Linked DNA regions of Daphnia pulex. The protein of the gene in region 2 interacts with the protein of the main gene of each other region in a biochemical or structural test. Links are inferred from orthologs where the notes say so. Each region holds a gene or a part of one and is shown on either strand. Other genes may lie near its edges.

Region 1 (3,695 bases), on a different chromosome or scaffold from region 2:
AAATTATTCTTAAAAACAACAGAAAATTTGCTGCCCTTCAAATTTTATCTGAGGTATTGCCCAGATCTATCTTCCTTTTTATCTGTTGCCAAATTATTCTTTTGATTAATTAATTAATTCAAGGTTCCCATGATAGAAGTACATGGGCAGTATGAAGAATATCTGATGACAGTGAGAGGGGAACTTCTGGAAGAAGTAGAAGGCACTTCTTTGTATGAATGCAGAATAGATCTGAAGAAGATGCAGTCAGAAATAATTCTGAAGGTTGTTCCTATTTCACACTATGGTTGCCAGGTTGTCTGAATCCATTTTAAATATCCCCCATCTTATTTAGTTTTGCAAACTAAAGGAAGCAACAACTGTATGGGTGTATGGGATCTCTGCAGTGACGGTGGAAGCTACCCCTTCAATGCGATCTCTCTCGGGGCAATCTGCTGGCGCTAATCATTTGCTGTCCTCAATAATGCAAGGATTCAATCAAGATGGGAAAAATGTTGACAGTATCGAGATGATAATAGACAAGAAAATTAAGGAGATGGAAGAACGCATGATGGCCAGAATTGAGGAACGACTTGGCCGCCTAGAGAAACGAATGGAGGAAGACAATTCAAAAATGATCTCAATGCTATTAGACCTGAAAACAAGTAACAAATAAATGGTACATGCTAATGCATATGACGAACATGTTTAATTAGGTGCATATTTCACGGTACAGACGGTGAAGATCGTTGAACAAAATTATCGAAGAATTAGAGGCTCTTTAGGCAGCCGAACTTAAGAAAAAAAAAAAAGAAGTTGTCAAAAGTAATTAACACTAAGACCTGCTTGTCACTCTTAATAGTGCAATATAAACGGGCGCAAGATTTCACATAAAATTCGATGATGAAGAGTGTAGACAACATGTTTATAAAACAACGTCGTCGTCGATTAGGTCGAAAGGGAGGTAATCAAGGACGTCTTCGACATCTTTATCTGCAGCAGCTGCATTTTCTTTCTCCTTTGGGTTACTGGCATCAGATGTGTCAAAGACATGCAACATTTTCCTCCACACTTTAATGGATCCATCCCAGCCCCTTCGGCTGTACTTTTTGTACTTGTTAGGGGTTTGGGGGTGTTCCTTGGTTCTTTTATTTCTATGGAAAATTTCTGTAAGTTTAGTATGAAATGTTTGGATTTGCACATGTAACTTTAAAATACTGACTTGGGTACAGTTTTGAGATAATTGTCATAGGCAATGGTATTCTTCCCATAATCAATTTGTTTCTGTCTTCGAGACAGAACTAGGGGATCTTCTTCAACTTCACCATTGGAGGAAATAGTTGAGCTCCTGTCACTTGTGTCTTCAACCTCAACCTCAGTTTTCTCATCTTTGACTGCAGTTTTTAACTCCGCCAAAGCAGAAGATGACTGTTTTTCTGTCTTAATCAAATTTTTCTTTTCTGTTTGGGCATAAGAAGTTGTCAGAGAGCGCTTCAATTGCATGTTTTCTCGTTTGATTTCTTTCCTCTGAGCTGGACCCCTCTCTGGACTTATAATGCTTTAGCCACAAAAAATAAATATGGTTAGTTTCTTCAGGAACTGATAATTTATTTAATGAGCAAGCATTTATACCTGGCAGAATCCCATTCGCGTTTTCGTAGCATACGAGTGCTAGGATGAGTCTTTTCAGACACAGTTTCTTCACCATCAGAATTTTTTTCTGTTTTAACAGCTTTTCTTGGACTCATTGTAAGCTCAGTAATTTCTTATAGAAAAATAAGTATTAAAACCCAACAAAATACAATGTTTTTACTTTTTACACTCTAAAAGAGCAAACAGTGATTCAGTTCACGTAGTTGTTGACTTTGTTGTCTCGGCCTCGGGTGAAAATAAAGCGGGGGGTGGGTTTTCTCGCGCCATTTGAATTAGAAGCAACTTCTAACCACATTAAACATGGATTACAAACTGCGTTGCTAACCAGCTCCATTCAGCTGCATGCCAGCCAGAGTGCTAACATAGTGCTAATATAACCAGAATAAGTTTATAAATATTTTAAATACATCTATAACCCCGAATCCCCGATCCATTTCTAGTGTTATTTTTATTTTACAAAATGTCCATCCATGGCCATAACTCCCATAAGGCCAGGTCATAGATAAAGACGACGTGGTCTTTATCTGTGGCCAGGTTAATAAGGCCATGGACTTCCAAAATGTTGCTAAGTTTCCTTGCAAAACATCTGAAATTAAAACCCTGGTAGATGTTAAAGACGATAAGAAAGCAGTCTCTATTGCTTAAAAATAGGCATTTCGCATTTCTAATATTCGCAAGGTCAACGAAAGATCATACGGCCGGATGAGACTTATTCCCGGAGCCGGGAGCTCGCCCGAACTAGGGTACAAAAAACAAGTATACATAACTACATATCCATCACTTCTCATTTCTCAACACCTTATAGTTAGGCAAGATTATACATGTACATCTAAGATAATTATACTTTTAATTAGATTTATAATCAAGCCGCACGAGCAAAAAGGCATTTGAAACGATAACCCGTCGGAAATTAGAAATTAGAATATCTCAAATTCCCATATCATGCAGCATACATACAAGGCCACAACCACCCACAACTCCACAAGTGCCACAGCATCTTAAATTATCAAGAAATATAACCTATACCCAATAAAAAAATAGTACTTCCATTTAAAAAATTAACTATCCAGTTTGAACGAATGCACCAAACAAATCCTAAATGAATAAGGATGTTCAATTTTAGAAATTACACTTTTACACTTTATACAGAGGCAACCCTGCATTAGGCTTGTGTCTGTTTTGGCTGTCATTGCAAAAAAAAATAATAACTTTTTATAAAAACTATGATGATATTTTTGTGTTTTAAATCAAGATTGATGCCAAAAGTTTTTATCTGATGGAAAGGAGTTAATATTTTGTGGATAAAAATCGAAGAACTTTTCTTCAAGTTGTAGCTCATTTGCTCACCGATCGACGCTAACGATAGGCGTTTCGTTTTGAAAATTTGGATTGAATTACCCTTGCCCGATTTCGAGGTTGTCAATGAAGATGACACAAACGCAACAAGATAAAGATACTGTAGATATCAACTTGACTCCACAGGAGCTTCAAATTTTATCAGAACTTGATAGGTATATTGCATTGTATTAAAAAAATCTGTGTTGTTTTTTTCACACCGTTACTTTGTTTCAGCCGTCAGTATGGTTTCCTGCAACTCAACAATCCTGAACATGCTGCAAAGAAAGTTTTAGTAGTGAAGGTTTGTAAGATTAAGTTCATATTCTTTGTAATTGAAAAATCTCAACTATGATGAATTATAGGCAATTCAGTATTTGGAACGGATGCTGAGTCAAGCTCACCAACAGCTAAAAAATGAATCAGATAGCCCAGAGAAGGGAATCAATATTGATCCAAAAACCTACTGCAAATTGGGCCATTTTAACATTCTCATTGAAGACTACCCAAAAGGTTTATTTTGTTCAATTACTGCATTGTAATTCTCTGTATGCCAACTTTTCATTTCCATGCAGCAATGTCAGCCTACCAGAAATTCCGCTCTCTAAGAGCTGACCACTGGAGAGATACCAACTATCTTTATGGCCTAGGACTCGTTTACTTCCACTTTAATTCTTTCAATTGGTGAGTATAGAGCATCATAGTTAGTAAAATATTCAAACAGTTGT
Region 2 (3,927 bases):
TCACCTCCGCCATCAGCCGCGTCGTCATCTCGATATGAGCGGCGCTGCCTCTGCATCCAATTAGGATTGGAATCGTTGGATTCGCTGTCGGTAATGTACTCTTCCGTGTCCAAATCCATTTCGTCCTCGGAATCGGCTGAGGAATGGAACCACTTGAAGTGTCGGCCGTCCCACTATTACCCCGGTTGATTAAACTTTGGGAATTCATAGAGAAAAATTAGAAATAATATTTCATACCGCTGAATCGATAATATCCATGGAGTATGGATGCCAAGAGACGTCCCGAACACATTCAGAATGACCAGTCAGAATCGCTGCAGGCTTTCCAGTCAGGACATCATAAACTAAAATTGCAAATATTTAAAAATTAAATTGGTTTAGATTGATAATACTAGGTTATTGGGGTCTCACTGAAAATTTTTCCAGCTGCACAACCACTGTAAATATATCGTTGCCCAGTGCTAAATGCTGGACTGAAACGGCATCGGATTAAAGTTCTTAAGACACTGTGTCCGCGGTATGTCATCAAACTAGTATCACCGGCGATCTTGTTTTTGGGAGAAGCCACTGCCAAAGAATAATAATTCAGTTGAGATTTTAAACATAAACAATAACAAAAAGTTAACTTACGCCTCCACGGAACGTTTTGGAAACTATAATCCCAACTTTGGGCGTTCATAAGCATTCTAGTCTTTTGTTGAACTTCGTTTCCTGAGAATTTGCGCATGTCCCATCTAATTAATCGCACATTTTTTAAATGTTTTTTTTTTTACGATAGATAAAACAAGTATTGAGATTACAGCTTGATGGATTGGTCCTTGCTATTTGTAATCAAATGTCTGCCATCTCCACGCGAGTCGACGAACGTAAGTCCGTCAACATGGCCACCAAGAATGCCCACCGGTTTAGCCTCTCCGTTTTCCGCCAACGTTCGACGATCCCAAACTTTGCATAATCCATCATCCGCTCCAGAAAATAGGATCTGCGAAGTTTCGTCAGCATAGGCCACAGTATTCACGTCCTCTTCGTGGGCATCAATCTAAACAAGATGGGAGGTTAATTAAGGACTGTTGGTGGGTACGAAACAAAATAGTAATTTTACCCTGAGCGTTCTCTGTCGTTTTTCGCAATCGTAAATGTACAAACAGCCGTCATTGGCACCACCCAATACTTCATTTCCGTCTTGAGAAAAAGTAAGGCTGAAAATACAAAACCGTCGGAGTTCCGGGGAAAGTGGGAGAACTTCATGTCTTTCCACCTCATCGTAAATGTTACAAAGGTGGACTGAAAATGGAACCAAACGCATTAACAACATTTTTACTAAGTCGAATTATGTTTCAAGGTACTTACTGGCTTCCGACCAACTAGAATAAATGATGGAACGTCCATCAGGACTGAACGCTGTGTCTAGAATACTCCATCCGACATCTCGGGCGGGGATTTTCCTTATGCAATCAAATCCGCCTTTTGATGTGTCAAACACACGGATAACTCGATCTATGAATTTGAAGAAAAGCAAAGATTAAATCTTTTCTTGCGCAACACAAAGTCAATTGTAATACCTTGTGAAGCGCTGAGGAAAATATTGCCATCTTTAGAATATGTCCCGCAAAACATTTTGTGATTGCAGTTGGCAACTTGTTTGAATTTGTTAGGCAAATAGTTGTGGCCAATATAGCTCCTGTCTCCACCAGAAAAATGCCCTGTACCCTTCATCCCTACTTGACGCTGGTACAGTAGTGATGTCACACGAGTGGAATGGGATTTGCAACCGTGCTTGTAGATTCCTGATGATAGAGATGTTGATAAGTACAAATCAGTCCCCTAGAGAAAAACTGGTATTAAAAAGAGGTACCTTCTTGTTATGTCTAAACAAACTCATTTTACCTCAAGAACAGTTAAATCAGGTGTGCTGTCAACAGGGGGTGGTTGGGCATTTGGAAGGAAATCAAAGAAAGACTCGTTTCTTTCTTCAAATACTGAGTTTCTTTCTGAAAGAATGTGAGCTCGGCCACTGTGGTTTCCCAGAAAGGGAAAGAATTGTTGAATATTAAGATGATCTGCAAGCCACTCTACTATCATGAAGGGATAACTAACTAACCTCCTGATGAGCTGGGTAAGAACTGTGGCTATGTCGGTATCAGAATCTTCGTCCGACATCGATGAAGTATCTCTGTTACTGCTGTCTCTGTCTTCATCGTCAGAGTTCATTTTCTGTTGGGACAATTAAATCAGTAAACGTATAACGTGCTGTGATTCGGCTTCTTACTTGAAGGTAGATTGTTGTCTCACCGTTTATTCAATAACAAAGTTAGTTAACCCGATAAAAAATGTCACGCAACTAGGCAGACGACAGCAAATGTTTGATAAAAAGCTTTACGCAAACGACATCTAGTGTTGAAATTCTAAACCTTTGAGAAAAAATTACCGCCAAAATTTGAAATTGAGCCTTTTCTTCCTCATTTTCTTTTTCTCTGATAAAAACCAACGCATGAACCAAATTCATACCAACCAAATTTTTCAGGATTGCAATCAAGTGATTTTCGTTGTCATATCTTAGAAGCTAGGCCTTTTATTACGATTTCAAAATTATTTCCATTACAATTACTGAATTACGACGATAACTTGAGCTTCACGTGTAATAAACTTTATCCTGTCTTTCCTCATTACCTACCGACCTACCGTTGGGCAGCATTAAATTTGCCTCTTTTAGTCACTGTAGCAACCAATAAAATTTCTTGAGACAATCAAACTTTTAAACAAATGTGTATTCTAGCAAATCAACTGCTAGTTAGTTAATTCGTATCAGGAGTTACAAGACTAAGCTAAAAACGTTCGCATGCCCCAGGAGGAGAAGTAAAAACGGATTAAAATTCGGTAAAGGTTGTTTAAGACGTATATATAAATATATAAAAGAGGATATTATTAGACGAAAAGACTATTATTAGAAACTACACAACGTGCCCTATTGATGTAGTGCAGCACATACCTGCTGCAATAAATGCTTAAATTAACTAAAGCCTCTCTCGACGTAATGTTGATAGGATTATTTCCAGTAAGAAACTCAGCGTCGCCAATCCAATACCGATAGCAAGGATAAAGAAAGCGCTAATTAAGTCCGACAGTTGAATGGGGACTACGCGGGTGACTCCACGTTTCGTATCGGCAAAACACTGTTTCGCCTTGGGAGTAGAATGAATATTATTAATCCATAAACGGACAAGTCCACTCTCCCACAGTTCCATAAGTCTGTAAATATATTAGGATTGAAATAAATAAATAAAAAATCAAGATGTAAAAATTTAGGGTGTTTAAAATGGTTACATACCCTTTGTCCATATCTTTAGTAAACAAACTTCCTTTTTTAAAAAACAAAGACGTAAATCCAATGGAAACGGGCAAAAGTTTCGATAATTTAAAGCGACACATCCCGTCTTTCTCATATTGAGAACAGACAAAGGCATAGCATAAAGAGTGCAGCTAATGAAACAGAAAAGTTCAAAAATTGATCATGTTAATCTCTGTCTTTATACACTTACATAAGGATAAGCGTAGCGTCCAGTTTCCAGTGTTGCGGTCAACTTGAAAGGATTGTCAACTATTTGATTAGGATTACGTCGGGCTTCATCCCCAAGAACCTTATAAATACCGGATGTCGCCTTCTAGTGAATCCAGGAACAGCTTATGAGGATTTGATTTAGAAAATAAAGGAGAAATGACCTCACCAGGATCTGATTTCCGATCGTCGTATCACTTCGCAGAACTATACCAACTTCTTCGCTTGCGGCCAAGTCTTCAAATGAGTTTATGGTCGGTTTCATCTTTGGCGTTGTGAGTGAAGATGTGACGATTCCAGTGTAACAATTGACCAAAACCATAGCGCACAAAACCCAAACTCCAGTCAGGACCCGAAATGAGAAGCGATTA

Evidence for each region.
Region 1: the proteins of DDB1- and CUL4-associated factor 11-like (region 2) and histone RNA hairpin-binding protein-like form a complex in vitro, tested with the Homo sapiens proteins (2 studies listed by BioGRID, with this or other methods). The link is inferred for Daphnia pulex from reciprocal best matches to the Homo sapiens genes DCAF11 and SLBP.

The regions. Positions count from the first base shown.
Region 1 is NC_060020.1:3,614,558-3,618,252, reverse strand, and holds histone RNA hairpin-binding protein-like, read right to left. Parts: upstream 2,565-3,695; 5' UTR 1,728-2,564; coding exon 1,612-1,727; intron 1,538-1,611; coding exon 1,202-1,537; intron 1,134-1,201; coding exon 905-1,133; 3' UTR 670-904; downstream 1-669. Other genes in the region: uncharacterized protein LOC124192277, read left to right, coding at 1-53, 124-264, 335-655; lysine-specific demethylase 6A-like, read left to right, coding at 3,055-3,143, 3,205-3,271, 3,333-3,480, 3,543-3,651. UniProt on the Homo sapiens protein: RNA-binding protein involved in the histone pre-mRNA processing.
Region 2 is NC_060025.1:8,379,474-8,383,400, reverse strand, and holds the start of DDB1- and CUL4-associated factor 11-like, read right to left. Parts: upstream 2,378-3,927; 5' UTR 2,270-2,377; intron 2,215-2,269; 5' UTR 2,212-2,214; coding exon 1,888-2,211; intron 1,825-1,887; coding exon 1,563-1,824; intron 1,498-1,562; coding exon 1,351-1,497; intron 1,285-1,350; coding exon 1,103-1,284; intron 1,040-1,102; coding exon 801-1,039; intron 735-800; coding exon 631-734; intron 568-630; coding exon 412-567; intron 345-411; coding exon 238-344; intron 174-237; coding exon 1-173. Other genes in the region: glutamate [NMDA] receptor subunit 1-like, read right to left, coding at 3,015-3,249, 3,329-3,480, 3,540-3,662, 3,726-3,927. UniProt on the Homo sapiens protein: May function as a substrate receptor for CUL4-DDB1 E3 ubiquitin-protein ligase complex.